4 linked regions of the Oryctolagus cuniculus genome follow. The protein of the gene in region 1 interacts with the protein of each later gene in a pairwise test. Links are inferred from orthologs where the notes say so. Each region holds a gene or a part of one and is shown in the gene's direction. Other genes may lie near its edges. The genes, in order: CREB1, CRTC1, POGZ and TSSK4.

What was found.
Region 2: the proteins of CREB1 (region 1) and CRTC1 interact in binary tests that used the Homo sapiens proteins (3 or more experiments, as listed by UniProt). The link is inferred for Oryctolagus cuniculus from reciprocal best matches to the Homo sapiens genes CREB1 and CRTC1.
Region 3: the proteins of CREB1 (region 1) and POGZ interact in a two-hybrid assay, tested with the Homo sapiens proteins (2 studies listed by BioGRID and IntAct). The link is inferred for Oryctolagus cuniculus from reciprocal best matches to the Homo sapiens genes CREB1 and POGZ.
Region 4: the proteins of CREB1 (region 1) and TSSK4 interact in binary tests that used the Homo sapiens proteins (3 or more experiments, as listed by UniProt). The link is inferred for Oryctolagus cuniculus from reciprocal best matches to the Homo sapiens genes CREB1 and TSSK4.

Annotation. Positions count from the first base shown.
Region 1 is NC_091434.1:32,216,318-32,220,229, reverse strand, and holds part of CREB1 (cyclic AMP-responsive element-binding protein 1), read left to right. Parts: intron 1-720; coding exon 721-903; intron 904-2,028; exon of another isoform or gene 2,029-2,050; coding exon of another isoform or gene 2,051-2,090; intron 2,091-2,940; coding exon 2,941-3,091; intron 3,092-3,912.
Region 2 is NC_091447.1:65,767,704-65,772,368, forward strand, and holds the start of CRTC1 (CREB-regulated transcription coactivator 1), read left to right. Parts: upstream 1-1,753; 5' UTR 1,754-1,849; coding exon 1,850-1,975; intron 1,976-4,665. UniProt on the Homo sapiens protein: Transcriptional coactivator for CREB1 which activates transcription through both consensus and variant cAMP response element (CRE) sites.
Region 3 is NC_091438.1:46,627,758-46,632,247, forward strand, and holds the start of POGZ (pogo transposable element with ZNF domain), read left to right. Parts: upstream 1-1,309; 5' UTR 1,310-1,441; coding exon 1,442-1,455; intron 1,456-1,824; exon of another isoform or gene 1,825-1,988; intron 1,989-4,490. UniProt on the Homo sapiens protein: Plays a role in mitotic cell cycle progression and is involved in kinetochore assembly and mitotic sister chromatid cohesion.
Region 4 is NC_091443.1:50,994,859-50,999,417, reverse strand, and holds TSSK4 (testis-specific serine/threonine-protein kinase 4), read left to right. Parts: upstream 1-1,718; 5' UTR 1,719-1,863; coding exon 1,864-2,094; intron 2,095-2,407; coding exon 2,408-2,622; intron 2,623-2,969; coding exon 2,970-3,363; intron 3,364-3,753; coding exon 3,754-3,942; 3' UTR 3,943-4,060; downstream 4,061-4,559. UniProt on the Homo sapiens protein: Serine/threonine kinase which is involved in male germ cell development and in mature sperm function. May be involved in the Cre/Creb signaling pathway. Phosphorylates CREB1 on 'Ser-133' in vitro and can stimulate Cre/Creb pathway in cells.

The DNA of each region.
Region 1 (3,912 bases):
AGAGAGAGAGAGAGGTCCTCCATCCAGTTGTTCACTCCCCAAATGGCCGCAACGGCAAGAGCTGCACCAGTCTGAAGCCAGGAGCTTCTAAAGAGTCTTCCACTTGGGTGCAGGGCCCAAGGATTTGGGCCATCTTCCACTGCTTTCTCAGGCCATAGCAGAGAGCTGGATCAGAAGTGAAGCAGCCAGGACACAAACCAGCACCCATATGGGATTCCAGCACCGCAGATGGCGGCCTTACCTGCTATGCCACAGCACTGGCCCCAAAAAATCCATTTCTTACCCTCGATAAATTTATTTAAGTGGGGCAGTAAATAAGGGGAGGGTCTTCAAAAAGTTTATGGTAAAAATTGAATTATGTTAATTTTTCACAAACTTTTACTTACGTCATTAATGATGGGATAAAGGAAAGTGAGGTGGAACTTCACAGAACCAGATAACTTCAAAAGAAATATAACATTTTCCCTGACCTACTTAAAAAAATTGTTAAGCATTGTTATTAAAAATTACAATGTGGTTCAGAGTGCCTTTCTATTCTAAAATCTGGATGTAGGTTTCTGAGCAGAAAGTTAACTTGAATATACCAAATGCTTCTTAGTGATATTATTTACTGTAATAATTTCTCCTAGATTATGTCTCATAAAATAGCCTACACTGAATTTAGTTTTAGTTTATGTGGTATTAATTAAACTTGTAACAGTAAAATCCATTGGGTTTTAGTTGCCATTACCCAGGGAGGAGCAATACAACTGGCTAACAATGGTACCGATGGGGTACAGGGCCTGCAAACATTAACCATGACCAATGCAGCTGCCACTCAGCCGGGTACTACCATTCTACAGTATGCACAGACCACGGATGGACAACAGATCTTAGTGCCCAGCAACCAAGTTGTTGTTCAAGGTAAGGAAATTCGGAATTCACAAGTATAGTACATTCTGTAAACCATTAAAATTACATAAACCCTCATAAAAAAGTAAGTATCATATTGCAAAGCCTTGTTAAAATGTAGTTAATTTCATTAGAGACAGTATTTTTCATTATTCCAATTGGACCAAAATGTCATGGCATAAAAACAACTATTTTCAGGTTTAAAAAAATAAAACATCTACTTTTAACATCTTTAGAATTAGGGCATAGGAAAAACAAGGTGGGATAGAAGGAAAGACAGTGAAATCAGAAGTTAAGAAGGACATTTTAGATCTAATTGCATGAATCTGCTATGAGACCTTGAGCAAAACCCAGCTTCTCTGGCTCTCATTTTTTTTTTTTTTTTCATGTGTCAAATGAGTATTTTGCTAAATCACTGATAAGAATCTTTGCAGGTTCAGAATTTTGTTACTTATTCAAGAGAAATTTAAATCTTTTTTAAAGTCTTATTTTCATCTATCTGAAAGGCAGAGAGATAGATACTTCCATCTGCTGGTTCACTACCTAAATGCGTGCAATAGCCAGGACTGCATCAGGCTGAAGCCAGGAACCTAGGCTCCATCAGGATCTCCATATCGTTAGTGCAGGCTCTGCCACTTCAGCCATCATCCGCTGCCTCCAAGTATACTTCAACAGGAATATGATCGGAAGCAGAATAGCAGCACTTCAATACGGGATGTCAGAGTCCCAAGCACTGTTCTTCCTGCTGGGCCACAATGCCTACCTCATGTTTTACTATTTTTAAAAACTTTTTTGTTTTCTTTTTATTTCAGGAATCTATAGATAGGAATTAACCAGTTTTCTTTGCATTCATTTGAATAGTTCAAGAATATAATTTATGCCCAATGATACATTTACATGTTGAGAAAATAATAAATTGCTTCTGAAAATATTTGCATTAATAATGCATTTTCCATGTGTCAGGTACTGGCAGTTGTATCCCTTTACCATGGATGATAGTTCTTGAAAATTTTTAAAACACAAGTTAGGGTCCTAATGTATTCACAGAATATGTTCTGTTACTGAACGAATAGTATTTGAAAAAGATAATATTTTGCTTATTGATGGGAATAAAACCCCTTTTCACTTTACATGCAGGTACTCAAAAATTGTAAAGCAGATGTCAGTGAATTTGAATTCTGAACGTCAGTTTGAAGATGGTAACATGTTTAGTATATAAATCTTTTCCACTCAAACTACACATTTTAATTGATATTAATAACTAATATGGATTCTTTTATCAAGACCTTTGAATTCTCTTAAATGATGCTAGGTTTCTTAGGAGAGCATATGAAACTTCTTAGAAGCAGTTTGGCAAATAAGTTACTATGTTTCTTTCACAAATATTGGACCACTTAGTTAGAAAAATAAACTTTCAGTTTATTTAGCCATTATCATTTACATTAAAACACTATGTTTACAATAATATAATTGACCTCAAGTGCTACACTTCATACTTTCAGTTTGTTTTAATTAGAAATTTACAATAGTTGACCATAATGCTTTATTTTCTCTTCCATTTTGCTATTTTATGAAAAAAAAAAAAAAAAAAAAAAAAAAAAAACATGGTCGTTTTTATGTCGTGGCAAGAGTCTGCTTGAAATTTTTTAATATGAATTTACCAAAGTCAAAGGAAGACATTGAGAACTATACTGTGTCTAGGAAGATCATCCAAGCTGTGCCCTACTTCCCTATTAGACTTAAGGTTGGTAAGCTTGTTAACAGAATAGAAGTGCATTCTGGTCAAAAATAAATGTGAGACCCAGCAGACATCAATTAAGACGCCTTTCACTCAAGTGTCTAGACTAATAAATACAATAAATTGGGAATTGTTTCTCAGTAGTGACCCAAAGAGTGCTGATTTCTTTGAACATTTTAGCCTGAATCATCTGTTCCATTTAATTTCCCTTTTAATCCAAAAAGTATGCTTAGATTGGTGATTGACACACACATGTTACTGACACACTGTTTTTCTGTGTCTTATACCTTGTTCACTGTTGTTCTTTTCAGCTGCTTCTGGAGATGTACAAACATACCAGATCCGCACAGCACCCACTAGCACCATTGCCCCTGGAGTTGTTATGGCTTCCTCCCCAGCACTTCCTACACAGCCTGCAGAAGAAGCAGCACGGAAGAGAGAGGTTCGTCTAATGAAGAACAGGTATATATATTTTATTTACTTAGATTGCTGTGGGCAAATCCCTCTTCAAGTTCTGCTGAAAATAGATCTTTACATTGATTTTTTTTCCTGGTAGGATTAATAGATCTTGCTAAAAATCTGTATTTAATAATTAATTTATGAGATTGTAGATCAGTCTTTAATCATAGAATAATTTCATATAATTTCCCCACAGAATATTTAATGCACAATGTTGCTATATTTGTACTTGGCTCCAACCAACTACCTAAGTTATTTAAAAAAAAAAAAATTTATAGAGTTAACAGACTTATAGACAGAGAGAGAGAAAGGTCTTCCTTCTGTTGGTTCACTCCCCAAATGGCTGTCACGGCCGGCACTGTGCCAATCCGAAGCCAGGAGCCAGGTGCCTCTTCCTGGTCTCCCACGCGGGTGCAGGGGACCAAGCACCTGGGCCATCCTCCACTGTCCTCCCAGGCCACAGCAGAGAGCTGGACAGGATGAGGAGCAACCAGGACTAGAACCCGGTGCCCATATGGGATGCCGACGCTGCAGGCGGAGGATTAACCAAGTGAGCCACGGTGCCGGCCCCTGGGAGGTTTTAAAATATATTTATTTGAGGGGCAGAATGACAGAAAGAGGCTCCCAAATGCCCACTACAGCTAGGGCTAGTTGGGTAGAGGTTGAAGAGAGGGTCCAGGAATGCAAGCCAGGTCTCCCAGGGTAGGTGGCAGGAACCCAATTACTTGAGCCTTCACTGCTGCTTCCCAGGATCTGCATTGGCAGGAAGCTGAAGTCAGAAGCGAGAATCAAGAATCCAGCCCATATACTCTAAGTCTTAATTG
Region 2 (4,665 bases), on another chromosome or scaffold:
GACGTTTGAGGTGGGTTTTGAGGGATGAGTAGGAGTTCCCCGGGCAGGACAGGAATTCATTCAACAAGCACCTGCTGATCTCCCCATCCGTACCTGGTCTTGTGTGTTAGCTCTGGGGCCTGGAGTGGCAGAGGAGCCCCCAGGTGCTCAGAGACTTCAAAGGATAACGGTCGTGAGTGAGGGCACACAGCTCCCACCGTGCTGCCCTGCTGTGAGTGGGGGGTGAGCGCGTGCGCTGAGTTCACGCAGCCGGGACCCCAGCAGCAGTGGGAGGCCCTGCCGCGGGGCGCTGCTGGACCGACGCTGCGGCGTAGCTGGTATAGTGGCTGCCTGCAGTGCCGGCATCCCATAGGGGTGCCAGTTCGAGTCTCGGCTGCTCCGCTTCCAGTCCAGCTCTCTGCTATGGCCTGGGAAAGCAGTGGAGGATGGCCTAAGTCCTTGGGCCCCTGCACCTGCGTGGGAGACCTGGAAGAAGCTCCTGGCTCCGGATCAGCACAGCTCTGGCCATTGTGGCCATCTGGGGAGTGAACCAGCGGATGGAGGACCTCTCTCTCTCTCTCTCTCTCTCTCTGTCTCTCTGTAACTCTGCCTTTGAAATAAATAAATAAATAAATAAATTTAAAAGATGAGACGGTGGAGGAGAGCGACCCAGGCAAAGATGTGGGCGTGGAAACTTCTGGAAGACTGGAATGCCGGCTGCTGAGGGCAGGGGTCCGCGGGCCCCTGGGGAGGGGGGACCTGTCCCCTAAGTTCGATGTGAGCCTGAGATTGGCCCAGGACCACGAAGAGCACGCGTGGCTTCCATTCAGGGAGAGGAGGCCGGGAGGCACAGGGCCGGGCGCTGCCCGGGACCCCCGAGGCCGTGGCCTCCCCCTGCCCCAAGCCCGGGGCGGCTGCCCCCTGTCCAGCCCCGCGGCCGACACCAGGCCGGCGGCTTCCTCTGACCCACGGCCAGGGTTGGGGGCGGGTCCAGTTTCAGGCCGGCCGCGGGCGCCCTGCGGGCATCTGGGGGCCCCCAAACCCCCTGCACCCCATCTCCCCGTGTCCGGAAGCTGGCTCTGGGCAGGTGTAAGCGAGCGAGTGGGAGGGCCGGGCATTTGCCGGGTCCACAGATCCCGGTGTGGGGCGGGGAGGCGCCGAGCTCCGCCCACTGCACCCCATTGAGGCCGGGGGCGGGGCTCCCCTGGCTCTGGGGCGGGCCTCGCCGGGAGCACCTGCTGCCCCCTATTCCTCCGTGACCCCTCGGGGTCGGAGGTGAGAACCAGCCGGCCCCACGCCTGACCTCCAGAAGCTTCCAGGCACTGGGACACCCACACCCCACCTTCAGGGGCCTGGGAAAAGGCCACAGCAGCCAGGGCTGGGCCAGCCTGGAGCCACGCGCCAGGAGCCAGGCGCTCCGACCCGGGCTCCCGGGGACCCCAGCACTGGAGCCACTGTTCCCGCCTCTGCCCAGCTGTCCTTGGTATACAGCAGGTGCTCAACGCATGCACGGCAGGCCAACACCTTGGACCCGCACCATCACCAGGCATCCGCTAGGTAGCGGGCCCGGCGGGGGACTCACTGCGCCTGCGCGGAGGCTCCCACTCGCGCGCCCCTGCCCTCCTGGCGCTCCGAGCGCGCCTCCCGGGCGCGCGCATGCGCCTTCGCCCCCGCGCCTCGCGCCGGCTGCGCTGCGCCTGCGCCGCGCTCCCGACCGCGGCCGCGCCTGCGTCCTGCGCGCCGCCCGCGGGCCCGAGCGGCGCCTGCGCGGTGGTGCCGGCGGGTGGGGGGGCGAGGAGGCGGAGGAGGAGGAGGAGGAGGAGGAGGCGGCGGTGGCGGCGGCGGCGGCGGCGGCGGCGGCGGCGAGAAGATGGCGACTTCGAACAATCCGCGGAAATTCAGCGAGAAGATCGCGCTGCACAACCAGAAGCAGGCAGAGGAGACGGCGGCCTTCGAGGAGGTCATGAAAGACCTGAGCCTGACGCGGGCCGCGCGGGTGAGGGGGGCTGCCGGGCACCGACCCCGCGGGCCGAGGGAGGGAGGGGCGCGTGCACGCGGCGGGGGCGCGCGCGGGGGCGGGGCCGCCGGCCCGGGGTGGAGGGCCAGGTGTCCCCCAGGCTCCGGGCGCCGTGGGCGGGACGGGGGCCCCCACATCCTCCGTAGCTGAGGGGCACAGGTGTCCCCGCCCCCTCGCCACCTGGACAGGCCAGGTGTGCGCGCCTCGCCGCCCCCGTGAGGGCACGGGTGCCCCCGCACCGTCGCCGCCCGGGGGGCGAGGGGGCCGCTGCCGGCAGGGAGCAGGTGCCGGGGCGTCGCTGGGACCGGCGCGGGGGGCCGGCGCCAGCCAGGTGCTGCATCCCGCCCGGTACCTGGCTGCAGCCGAGCGCTCCCGCGGCGCCGCCTCCCTGGGTGCTGGGGGCAGGAGCAGGTGTCCCTGCTGGCAGACCTCCGTGGGGCCGCCTGGGGTCGGGGGCCCGAGGGGCCGGGTCCTGGGGCTGGGCCTCCCGGTGGGCGGGGGACCGCTGGCCACACGCGGGGATCGGGCGGGCGGCCCAGGGGTGCTCGGGTGTGTCCCGTGAGCTGGCTGCTGGGGCTGGGGGCCCAGCTGTCCCCTGTGGCCCTGCTCCGGCCAGGGGCCTGGGGTCTCCGCTTCTTTCGCTGTCCGGCGTATGGAGCAAGACCTGGCTCCCGGGGCAGGGAGGCGACCCGAGGTGGGGGATCTCCGCGGGGCCTGGGGGGACGCAGGTGTGGGTGGGAGCTGCAGGCACCCCGCCCCTCCCGCCGGGGCGTGACCCCAGGCCTGACCTCCCGACTGACCCCACGCCCCCACCCCGGTCCCGACGGACCCCGGGTCCCGGCGTTTTGTGAATGGTCGCGGGTCCGAGCCGGGGCTGCGACCTCAGGGTTAGGGTGCGCATGTTCCCGGCGGCCACGGCTGCTGCCGACCAAGAGGCTGCTGGCGAATGAATGAATGAGTGACCGAATGAATGAATGAATGAAGGAACGTGTGCCCCGGGCCGGGGCTCCCGGCGGGACCTGTGCGCCCCCTGGCTGGCCGACAGGCAGTGTCGGGTGTTGGCAGCCTGACCGGAAGCGAGCGAGGGGCCACGCGCGGTTCGTGGTCCGGTCCCTGCGTGGGCTGGGCCTGGGTGGTCGTGGAAGGAGGTCTCTGTGAGGGGCTGAGCCCGGGCGGCTGCGTCCCGTGTCCGATGCCCGGCTTTGGGGCCCCAGCTCTGCCGCCCCGGCTTCCTGGGAGGCTGCGGTGACGGCTCCAGGACCCGAGCCCCTGCCGCCCACACGGGGGACCCAGGTGGAGCTCCGGGCTCCTGGCTTCGGCCGGCCCGGCCCGGCCCGGCCCCAGCTGCTGCAGGCACTTGGGGAGTGAACCCGCAGATGGGCCACCTCCCTCCCTCTCTCTCCCTCTCTCTCTCTCTGCCTGTCAAATAAGATTAAAAAAATAAAATAGCAACTTCATTAAGATCTCGTTCACTTACGTTGTCTGTTTATTTAAAGGGTACAGTTCTGTGTCTTTGTTTTTGATTTCTTTACATGAAAGGCAGAGTTGAGAGAGAGAGATAGAGGGAGAGGGAGAGGGAGAGGGAGAGGTCCTCCATCCGCTGGGTCACTCCCCAAATGGCCGGTCCTCCATCTGCTGGGTCACTCCCCAAACGGCCGCAGCGGCCGGGGCTGGACCAGGCTGAAGCCAGGAGCTCCATCCGGGTCTCCCACGCAGGTGCAGGGGCCCCAGGGCTCGGCCATCGCTGCTGCTTTCCCAGGCCACAGCAGGGAGCGGGACTGGAAGTGGAGCGGCCGGGACTCGAACCTGCGTCCCCGGAAGCCGCTGCGGCACAGCGCGGCCCCTGTACGCGGTCTCAGTCGGCGTCAGGTTCTCCGGGTCCCTCCGCGCCGTAGCAGGTGCCGGGCCTCAGCCCTTGTCCTGGCTGAGTAGTACTCCGCCGATGGCCACGTCTGGCCCTGGGCCCCCTCCCCTCGCCCCGTAGCCTTCCTGTAACCTGATCGTGGCCATGGGCGGAACCAACAGAAGGTGAATCTTTAGGCCCAGAGGGTTATCCCCTGGGCGGTGACTGCCCCCAGAGGACTCTGGGCCATCCGGTCTGACCGGAGGATGCCAAAACATAGCATCTGTTTATTTATTTATTTGTTGGAGAGAGAGACCGAGCACTCCCGTCTGTTGCTTCCCTTCCCAGGTGGAAGCCGGGAGCCAGGAGCTCGGAGCAGGTCTCCCGCGTGGGTGGCGGGGGCCCAAGCGCTCGAGCCCTGGTCCCCTGCTGCCTCCAGGGTGGGCATCAGCAGGGAGCAGCGCTGGGATTCGAACCTGGGCCCTCCCATGTGGGAGGCGGGCTTCCCCAGCAGCGTCCAAGCAGCTGCGGCCCCCGCAGCCCCCTGCCGGCGTCTTGCGAGTGAAGGTCAGGGACACCGCCCGGCGCCGCGTGACCTCGCACAGGGCCCGGCCGTGGCTGGCAGCCGTGGCCGGCGCTGGGAAGCCTTGGGTCCGAGGAGGGCGGGGAGGTGGGAGCGCTGCCCTGCGTGGGTCGCTCCAGTGTCCTGCGTGGCTGTGCCAGGGCCAGGGCCAGCACCTCCCCCCACCGGCTGTGGCAGGTGCACCCGTACCGCCGGGCGCAGGCTGCCCTGCCTTGGGGGCTGCGGCCGTGGCTCCTGCCTCCC
Region 3 (4,490 bases), on another chromosome or scaffold:
TTATCTTTTCGCTCGGCGAGGCGTTCGGCGCCAGACAATGAGAGGGGGGATGGGGCGGGCGGGCGCGCGCGCACGGGGTGGGGGCGGGGACCGGGGGCGCGCGCCCGCGCCCTCCGCGAGTGGCGGCGGTCGCGCGCGGCAGTGGCGGCCGTGGGGCGCGGCGCGCGAGCGCGTGTGTGCGGTGGGAGCGCCCTGGCCGCGGGAGCTGCGCGGCGGGCCGGCGGCGGCGGAGGGGGCCCCTGCCTGCCTGCCTGCCGCCCCCGCCCCCCGGCGCCGGCCGCGGCGCGCGCGCGCACTCGCGCCCCACGGCCCCGCACACACCCGACGTCCACACGCACGCCCGGCGCGGGGCGTCTCGGAGGAGTGGGCGGCGCGGGCGCCGGCGCTGGCGGCCCGCTGGGGAGGGGCGGGGGCGAGGGGGCGAGGCCGCGGCGGGGCAGCGTCTGCCGGGGGTGCCCGCGCCGCCCCGCCCCCGCCCGGGGAAGGAGCGGGGCGCCCGTTTGGAGCGGGAGGAGGAGAAGGATTGCTTGGGCGATCCCTTGTGTTATGTAACCCCCGCTCGCTCTGGTGCGCGGCGGCTGCTCCGCGAAGTCTGCTCGCCTGGCCCCAGGCTGCAGTGGGGGGACCGCGCCGTGATTTATAAAATGGGATGGGGCGGAGAAGCTCTCTTTTCTGGGGATGATGATGATGATGTCCTGCCGCGGTGGGCGCCATGTTTATCCCGGGGACTACTTTCTCTAGCCCTCTGCACCTACTACTGGAAAGGAGTCCTGTCATCGATCCACCTGCTTTTCCTCCTTTCTGCGTCTTGTCCTGATTTCCTCCCGCGGCAGATGTGGGATTCCCCGCACACTGTTAGTGAGATAACACTGGGCATTCCTCGGCTCACTTGTCAGAGCTGAAGAATCTTGTAAGTCGTTGGGCCCAGTCTCGTTTTACTCGAGATGGAAATTAAGATGCAGTTGTACCAGTTGCTGTCTCTGAACCGTGCGGGCGGTAGCCGGGTCACCACGCTCTCTGAGACACTTCCCTCCACAGCGCGGAACTCCACAGTTGGAAAGGGATTTTCCCGACTAGATGGGGGGACCCGGGAGGGCTGGGCGTGGGGGGGCTGCTGCTTGACGAACAACAGCGAGACGGGTTGCTCTGGGACTGGGAGCCTGGATTCTGAATTCCAAGCTGCTTCACCTCGGGGTGCGTGAAAGGTGCCTCGGAGACCAGGAAAGTGCGGTGTTGGGGGCCTCCTCCCTGGAATTCCTGTGGGTAGGGTAGGCAGAGTTTGCTGTTTCTAGGTCTTAAAGGCAGTCCCCGTTGAGGGTTACTGGTCTGATGTCAAGATGCTGAAGACAGTCGTGAAAACGGGTGAATGCTAGTCTGCGCTCTTCCTGAAGTGTGTTGATGGTGTAGCTCCCAACTAAAAGAGTAGAAGGAACTCCTGGCGATGAGCAGGATTTTGTGAGTTTTTCACTCATCTGGAACTAGTGGTGCGGTCTAGGAAAGAGGTTCTCAAAGTGCGATCCTCTGGGGATACCCCCTCCGAGCTTCGCTGGGGAGTCTTGAGGTCATAACTTTTCAAAATCTAAGATTTTTTTCTGATGTTCGCACTGATAGCCCAAAAGCAATGCTAGGTAAAACTATTGTTGGTGTCTTACCATCGAGTAAGGCGATGGTACCAGGCTGCTGTACAGATGGTCCTTGATGAACCAGTAACTGATTAACTCTGAGCTGTTTTTGAGACTTGGAAGATGGTCTGTTGATGTTACTAAGTTTTTCTTTTCCTTTTTTTTTTTTTTTTTTTTTCTTTTTAATTTATTTGAAAGGTAGGATTGTCAGGCGGGAAGATAGAGGTATCTTCCATCCACTGTTTCTACTTCTCAAATGGCCACAACATCAGCTGGGAATGGGCCAGGAGCCAGAAACTTTGTTCAGGGTTTTCCACATGGGTAACAGGAACTCAAGTACCTGGGCCATTAGCTGCTGCTTCCCAGGTGCGTTGACAGGAAGCTGGGTCAGAAGTGGAGTATCAGGCACTCTGATACGGGATGGAGGTGTCCCAAGCAGTGGCTTAACCATTCGCCACAGCACTCACCTCACTGTTGAGATGTTTTCAAGTATTACTACAAATCTCAGCTTCTGAGTACACCTGTTAAATTTTTTTTGAGAATCTCTGATGACATTATCAGCTTGCTTTCTTTCTTTCTTTGTTTTAAGATTTATGTATTTATTTGAAAGTCAGAGTTACACAGAGGAGAGAGAGAGAGGTCTTCCATTTGATGGTTCACTCCCCAGATGGCCGCAACTGCCGGAGCTGTGCCGATCCGGAGCCAGGAGCTTCTTCTGGGTCTCTCACTTGGGTGCAGGGGCCCAAGGTCTTGGGCCATCTTCTGCTGCTTTCCCAGGCCATAGCAGAGAGCTGGATTGGAAGAGGAGCAGCCAGGACTAGAACTGGCGCCCATATGGGATGCTGGCGCTTCAGGCCAGGGCGTTAACCTGCTGCACCACAGCGTAGGCCCTGAAATGATCAGTTTTCATAAAGCATTTATGCTGCCTACCGAAGTATGATTGTTGTCAAAAGGAAAAGCATTTGTGATGTTGTTTTGTGAGCTGTTTATTTCCTGGAATGGCATTTTTACTTGAAATAACGACTGACAAACTACTGTTTTTCACATTGAGTATTTGAAGATACTTCTTGAAAGTGAATGAAGTAAGCTTATCATTTATATGAAAGCAATTGACCATATTTGTTACCAGTGATAAATTTGAATGGAAGATAGAATTTTTCAAAAGTTGACTGCATCCCAGTACCTGAAAGACTTTGCTTACATTATTAGTGATTAACAATTGTGATTTTTAAAAAATATTACATAATGAAATGTGTCATTTGGAAGATGGCTTAACTCAGTAAATGCACATTTTTTGTACATATTTTCCAAATGACCAGTGTATGATGCTGCAGAATTACAAGAGTAATTCAAAATATGAAATATGGCAATGAATAAATATGTATGTATATTTTATTTTTTGAAACAGACAACTTCCATCCACTGGTTCACTCCCTAACTACCTGCAACAGCCCGGGATGGGTCCCATGTTGGTGGCAGGGACCTAACTATTTGAACCGTCACCTAGTACTTTCCATGGTGCATATTAGCAGGAAGATGGAATTGGAAGTGGAGCCAGGGACTCAAACCTAGGCACTCTTGATATGGAATGCAGGTGTCCTAAGCAAGAGGCGGCTTAACTGCAGCACGAAACACCTATCCCTATAGCCGTGGATTTTAATGTAGCAATGTATGAAAATTTCACCAATAGGGTTTCAGATTCTAAGATGCAGATATCCTTTGAGAAACTATCATTTGTTCAGTTCTAGTGTTTATAAATAGTGTTATTGTTTAGTCATCTGAAAAGGTTATTAAAATACTCCCTGGGGCCAGTGTTGTGGCATAGCTGGTTAGACTGCTGCCTGTGACAATGGCATCCCATATGGGCACCAGTTAATCTGTTGGCTGCTCTGCTTTGAGGGCAGTGGAAGATGGCCCAAGTGCTTGAGTCCCACACCCGCATGGGAGACCTGGAGGAAGTTCCTGGCTTTAGCCTGGCCCAGCCCTGGCTGTTGTGGCCATTCGGGGAGTGGACCAGCTGGGGAAGATCTCTCTGTCTCTCCCTTTTCTTCTGTAACTCTGGCTTTCAAATAAATGAATAAATCTGAAAGAATATAATTCATCTCCCCTTTTCCACTAGATATCCTGTACAAGTCCAGAGTTTTGTTCTGTACTTAACCAAAACATCTTGCGGCAGACCAGATGCAGAAGCAGCCGTGAGAATCCATCTGTCATTTATTTATTTATTTGAGAGGCAGAGAGAAAAATGGAGCTGCCATAAAAAGTTATTTTATTCCCCAGATGCCCACAACAGCCAAGACTTGGGCCAAAACTGAGAGCTGGGAACTCAGTCCAGGTTTTCCATGTGGGTTACAGAAACCCAGTTAATGTGAGCCATCACCACTGCCTCCCTGGGTCCACACCAGCAGGAAGTGGGAATCAGGATCTGGAGCTCAGTATTGAACCCAGGAACTCTGGAATGGGACTTGGGCATCCTAACTAGCATCCTAACTATACCCACCCCCAATGATTTTTTTTTTTTTTTTCCACAGGCAGAGGGGACAGAGAGAAAGGTCTTCCTTTGCCGTTGGTTCACCCTCCAATGGCTGCCGCTGCCGGCGCACTGCGCTGATCCGAAGGCAGGAGCCAGGTGCTTCTCCTGGTCTCCCATGGGGTGCAGGGCCCAAGCACTTGGGCCATCCTCCACTGCACTCCCGAGCCACAGCAGAGAGCTGGCCTGGAAGAGGGGCAACCAGGACAGAATCCGGCACCCCAACGGGGACTAGAACCCAGTGTGCCGGCGCCACAGGCGGAGGATTAGCCTTTTGAGCCACGGCGCTGGCCCCCAATGATCTTCTATTAAGCTATACAAAAAAAGATTTATAGACA
Region 4 (4,559 bases), on another chromosome or scaffold:
GTTTTTGGATTTTTTTGGGTTTTGGAGGATGGAAGATGAAAGAATTCAGATCCTTTGTTCTTTGCTCTCCCCTCTAAAATCTTAGCATAAAATCCACATTCCATCATTTCAGACTCGGTCTTGCCTGTTTTTGATGCTTCTTGCATTGTTTCATTGCAGCTACCAAGCAAAACCCTAATCTGGGATTCAGTTATCCATCAGTTTCAAGACACTAATGGAATCTCAACACAGGTTTTGTAAATTTGTATCCTCCAACCCCATTTGGGCCCTTGCTGCCCAGTGATCCTGCTCATTTTCCAAACCACCTCTTTTCCATTCTCCACAACCCATTCTTTTCAAACTTCTGATTTCACCTCTCTTCTAGTCACTGAACCTCCCTTGAGAGTCCAATGGGAGATGCAAGCAAAAACAAAAAGCACCTCAACTGATGTTTGGTCAAGTGCTGTGTCCGACAAAGTGTTAGTGTTGGGAAGCACCTAGAAGGGAGGAGCACCTTAGGTGTGGACAGGCAGTACAGCCTTCCTTAAAAACAGCTGCGATTGGGCCAGTGCTGTGGTGCAGTGGGTTAGCCATGACCTGCAGTACCAGCATCTCACATGGGCACCAGTTCTAGTCCTGGCTGCTCCTCTTCCGATCCAGCTCTCTGCTATGGCCCAGGAAAGCAGTGGAAGATGGCCCAAGTGCTTGGGCCCTTGCACCCACATAGGAGACCTGGAAGAAGCTCCTGCCGTTGTGGCCATTTGGAGAGCGAACCAGTGAATGGAAGACCTTTCTCTCTCTCCCTCTCTCTGTAATGCTACCTCTCGAATAAATAAAATTAAAAAAAAAAAAAAAGAGAGAGACCTGAATTGAGGGAGTGGCATTGAGCTTAGAGAGCCAAGTGTCTTATTTAAGAGATATTAAGAAGTAGAAGAGACATGATTTGGTGATAAATTATGTGTAGGGACTAAGGCAAGAGGAAGGGTCTGAGATGACATTTAGGTGTCTGCGAATAACTAGTGTACAATTTACGGTGAGTTTGAGGTGCCTAGGAGAGACCTGTCCACGTGACGTCCAATGAGCAATTAGGCTGTATCTGGAACTCCAGTGATGGCTGGGACAGAGATGAGATCAGGAGCAGCAAGCACATTGAGGCTCTGGGAGTGATAAGGATAAGGTCTTAACGAAAAAATGTGAAGGTCTGATAGAACCTTTAGGATAAGATTGAGATAAAAGGAGACTGATGAGGCTCCCAAGGAGGCTGAGGATGACCAGAGGCATGGGAGGATATTAAACTAGAGGTCAGGGTTATGGAGAATGCCTGTCAAGGTTAGATCCCTATAGCAGGCTTCAACACCTTGAACTTCTCTGTAATGCCCCTGTGCTTCTCTCATGCTCACTGTAAGTGCAAGGGGCATGAGGTCTCTACTGGCCTGACTGGTCATTTTATCCTAGTACTGCACACTGGCAGAAAGGAGGTGCTCCGTGCACTGGACAGCTGGGGGGAGAGTCTCACCAGATTGCAGAGCATGTCTCTGGGAACGAATCTGTTCCAAACCACACTGCATTTTCAAGCTTCGTGGCCAGTGACAGAAGGTGGATTGTGATGTGGATGGAACATGAAACCTTGGTAAGTTCCGTAACCAAGGAGGAAGAAGTACCAACAGCCAGTGGAGACCGAAAGAACTGCTCCTCCTATCCCCCTTCAAGTTGCTAGCAGAGGGCTGGGCCCAGCATCCCAGACTTAATGTGACTCCATAGGCAAGCATCCAGAGACCAGCTTCACTTTGGTACCCCGGCCTTCAGTGGCTAGAGGTGCTGGCCTTGGAGTAGACAGGAGGCTTCCAGGTAGCCAAGCTCCTTGCTCTCAGCAAGCCCGGCAGTATGGGGAAGGGAGATGCGGTGGAGGCGGCGGCAGCACCAGCCACTCCGGCTTACCGATCTGTCATGGAGGAGTATGGCTATGAGGTGGGCAAGGTCATTGGCAATGGCTCCTACGGGACAGTGTACGAGGCTTATTACACAAAGCAGAAGGTCATGGTGGCCGTCAAGATCATCTCAAAGAAGAAGGCCTCCGAGGATTATCTAAACAAGTTCCTGCCCCGTGAGATACAGGTTGGAGAGTGCTGGGAGAGGGAGTGGCAGTTTACTAAGCTGCATGAGGTTTTTCAGAGGGGATGTGGTTAGGAAGTGGTGGGGCCACCCCCTCCCCCCAAACTGGGACTGGGCATCTGACTCAGCAGCTAGGAAAATTAATGTCAACTCAACCGCTCTTGCCTACCCACTCACCTCCAGCTCTCCCCAGAGTGCAAAACAAGGTCTACCTCCAGGCAGCAGCCCTGTGCTGCAGAGGTCCAGTAGCAGTGGGCTGGGAGTGCAGCCAGGGCCCACCCTTCTCGGGTTTGATGGGTGCCTCTTCTGGGGGCAGGTAATGAAAGTCTTGCGGCACAAGTACCTCATCAACTTCTATCAGGCCATCGAGACCACGTCCCGCGTGTACATCATCCTGGAGCTGGCGCAAGGTGGAGACGTCCTCGAGTGGATCCAGCGCTATGGGGCCTGCTCTGAGCCCCTTGCTGGCAAGTGGTTCTCCCAGATGGCCCTGGGCATCGCCTACCTGCACAGCAAGGGCATCGTGCACCGGTGAGGGCGCTGCCACTCGGACGGGGGCCTTCAGGCGCTCAGGGGGCTTTCCTGTACAGCTTCTGCTTTCTGCCTTTTCCTCCTTTGCACTTTCCTCATTATCCAGGTCCATGCATCCACTCTATTTCAATCCTCTGGTCAAGGACACTTACATAAAGTGCCCAGTGTGTGCAGACCCCTTTATGAAATGCAGTAGTGAGACCCCAGTGGTCCTCAAGGACCTCATAACACCTTGGCTCTCTCCTCCTGACACTGGTCTCATAATGGCGTCTCCCTCCCACCTGGCCCATCCTCAACCTTAGCCTCCATCCTTCAGCTCCCGGTCTAATACAAAGCCCTCTCCCCAGCCTGACCCCCAGCCTTTCTGCTGCTGGTAGGGACTTAAAGTTGGAGAACTTGTTGTTGGACAAGCGAGAGAATGTGAAGATATCGGACTTTGGCTTCGCCAAGATGGTGCCTCCTAACCAGCCTGCGCGTAGTAGCTCTTCTTACCGCCAAATGAACTGCTTTTCCCACCTCAGCCAGACCTACTGTGGCAGCTTTGCATACGCCTGCCCCGAGATCTTGCTAGGCTTGCCCTACAACCCTTTCCTGTCGGACACCTGGAGCATGGGAGTCATCCTCTATACTCTGGTGGTCGCCCGTCTGCCCTTCGATGACACCAACCTCAAGAAGCTGCTCAAGGAGACTCAGAAGGAGGTCTCTTTCCCGCAGAACAACGCCATCTCCCAGGAGTGCAAGGTGCTGGCTCCCCCAGGAGAGCTGAAGCCTTAGAGATGACCCATGGGGAGGGGCGAATTCCCAAGCTAGGCCACCCAGCCCTGGGCGAGCCAGCCCATACTCTTGTCCCTGGGGAGGGCTTATAGGGCCATTCACGGGGCCCCATCCTTAAGCAGATTCCCACTACTATCCCTTTAGGCTAGGAGGGGCTTGTGCAAAGGATTTCCCCAAGAATTCCTCCCTCCCCTTTCCAGGGAGCTGAATACTTGGCTTACCAGGATAAAACCAGGGCCACACCCCTTTCACTAAAGTAGCATAGGCGCTACCTTGTATTCTCTTTGGGTCCAGCTGCTTACTGTGTGGCACAGTGCAGGGTAAGCTTAGCCAGGACCTTTCTTTCTCCTGCCCTAGAACCTAGTCCTTCATATGCTATGCCAAGCGGCCAAGCGTGCCACCATCCTGGACATCCTCAAGGATCCCTGGGTGCTCAAGTTCCAGCCTGAGCAACCCACCAATGAGATCAGGCTGCTAGAGGCCATGTGCCAGCCCACCACCAGCAGCACCAGCAATCGGCAGCAATCCTTGGGCAACACAACCTGAAAATGGTTGCTGGGAGGGGAGGGAAGGAAAGAAGGGAGGGACTGAGAGAGGGGCAAAGCAGGAGGGTCCAGGGCTAAAAATCTTTTATACCGTAAATAAATCTGATTTAGTTTCATCAGCTATGTTCAAAGATATTCTTTGCTCAAGGGAACCTTAGTGGGGAATACTGCTGTGGGTACAAGGTGGATTTCTGTCCGGAGCCTGTCACCAGTCCACCTTGACACCTGTGTAAATCAGTGTGATTCCACCTGCGGCTCGTGGGGTGGGGCGCTCAGATGAACACTCTGGGGAAGCTTTCTTTTTCTGACTACGTCTTTGTGCTCTCTGAACATCCATGCAGTGGGGGAAAGCCCTGCTCGCTCCACCTGAGGCTCTGCTTGTCTGCAGTCCAAAGTGATGGGCTTTTATTTTTTGTTTTGTTAAAGATTTACTTATTTGAAAGGCAGAGTGACACAGTGACAAAGAGACAGATCTCAATCTTCTGGGTCACTTCCCTGATGGTTGCTACACCCGGGGCTTGGCCAGGCCTAAGCCAGGAGCTAGGAGCTCTATTTAGGCCTTCCACATAGGTGGTAGGAGCCCAGGTATTAGCGTCACCACGTGCAGGAACCTGGATC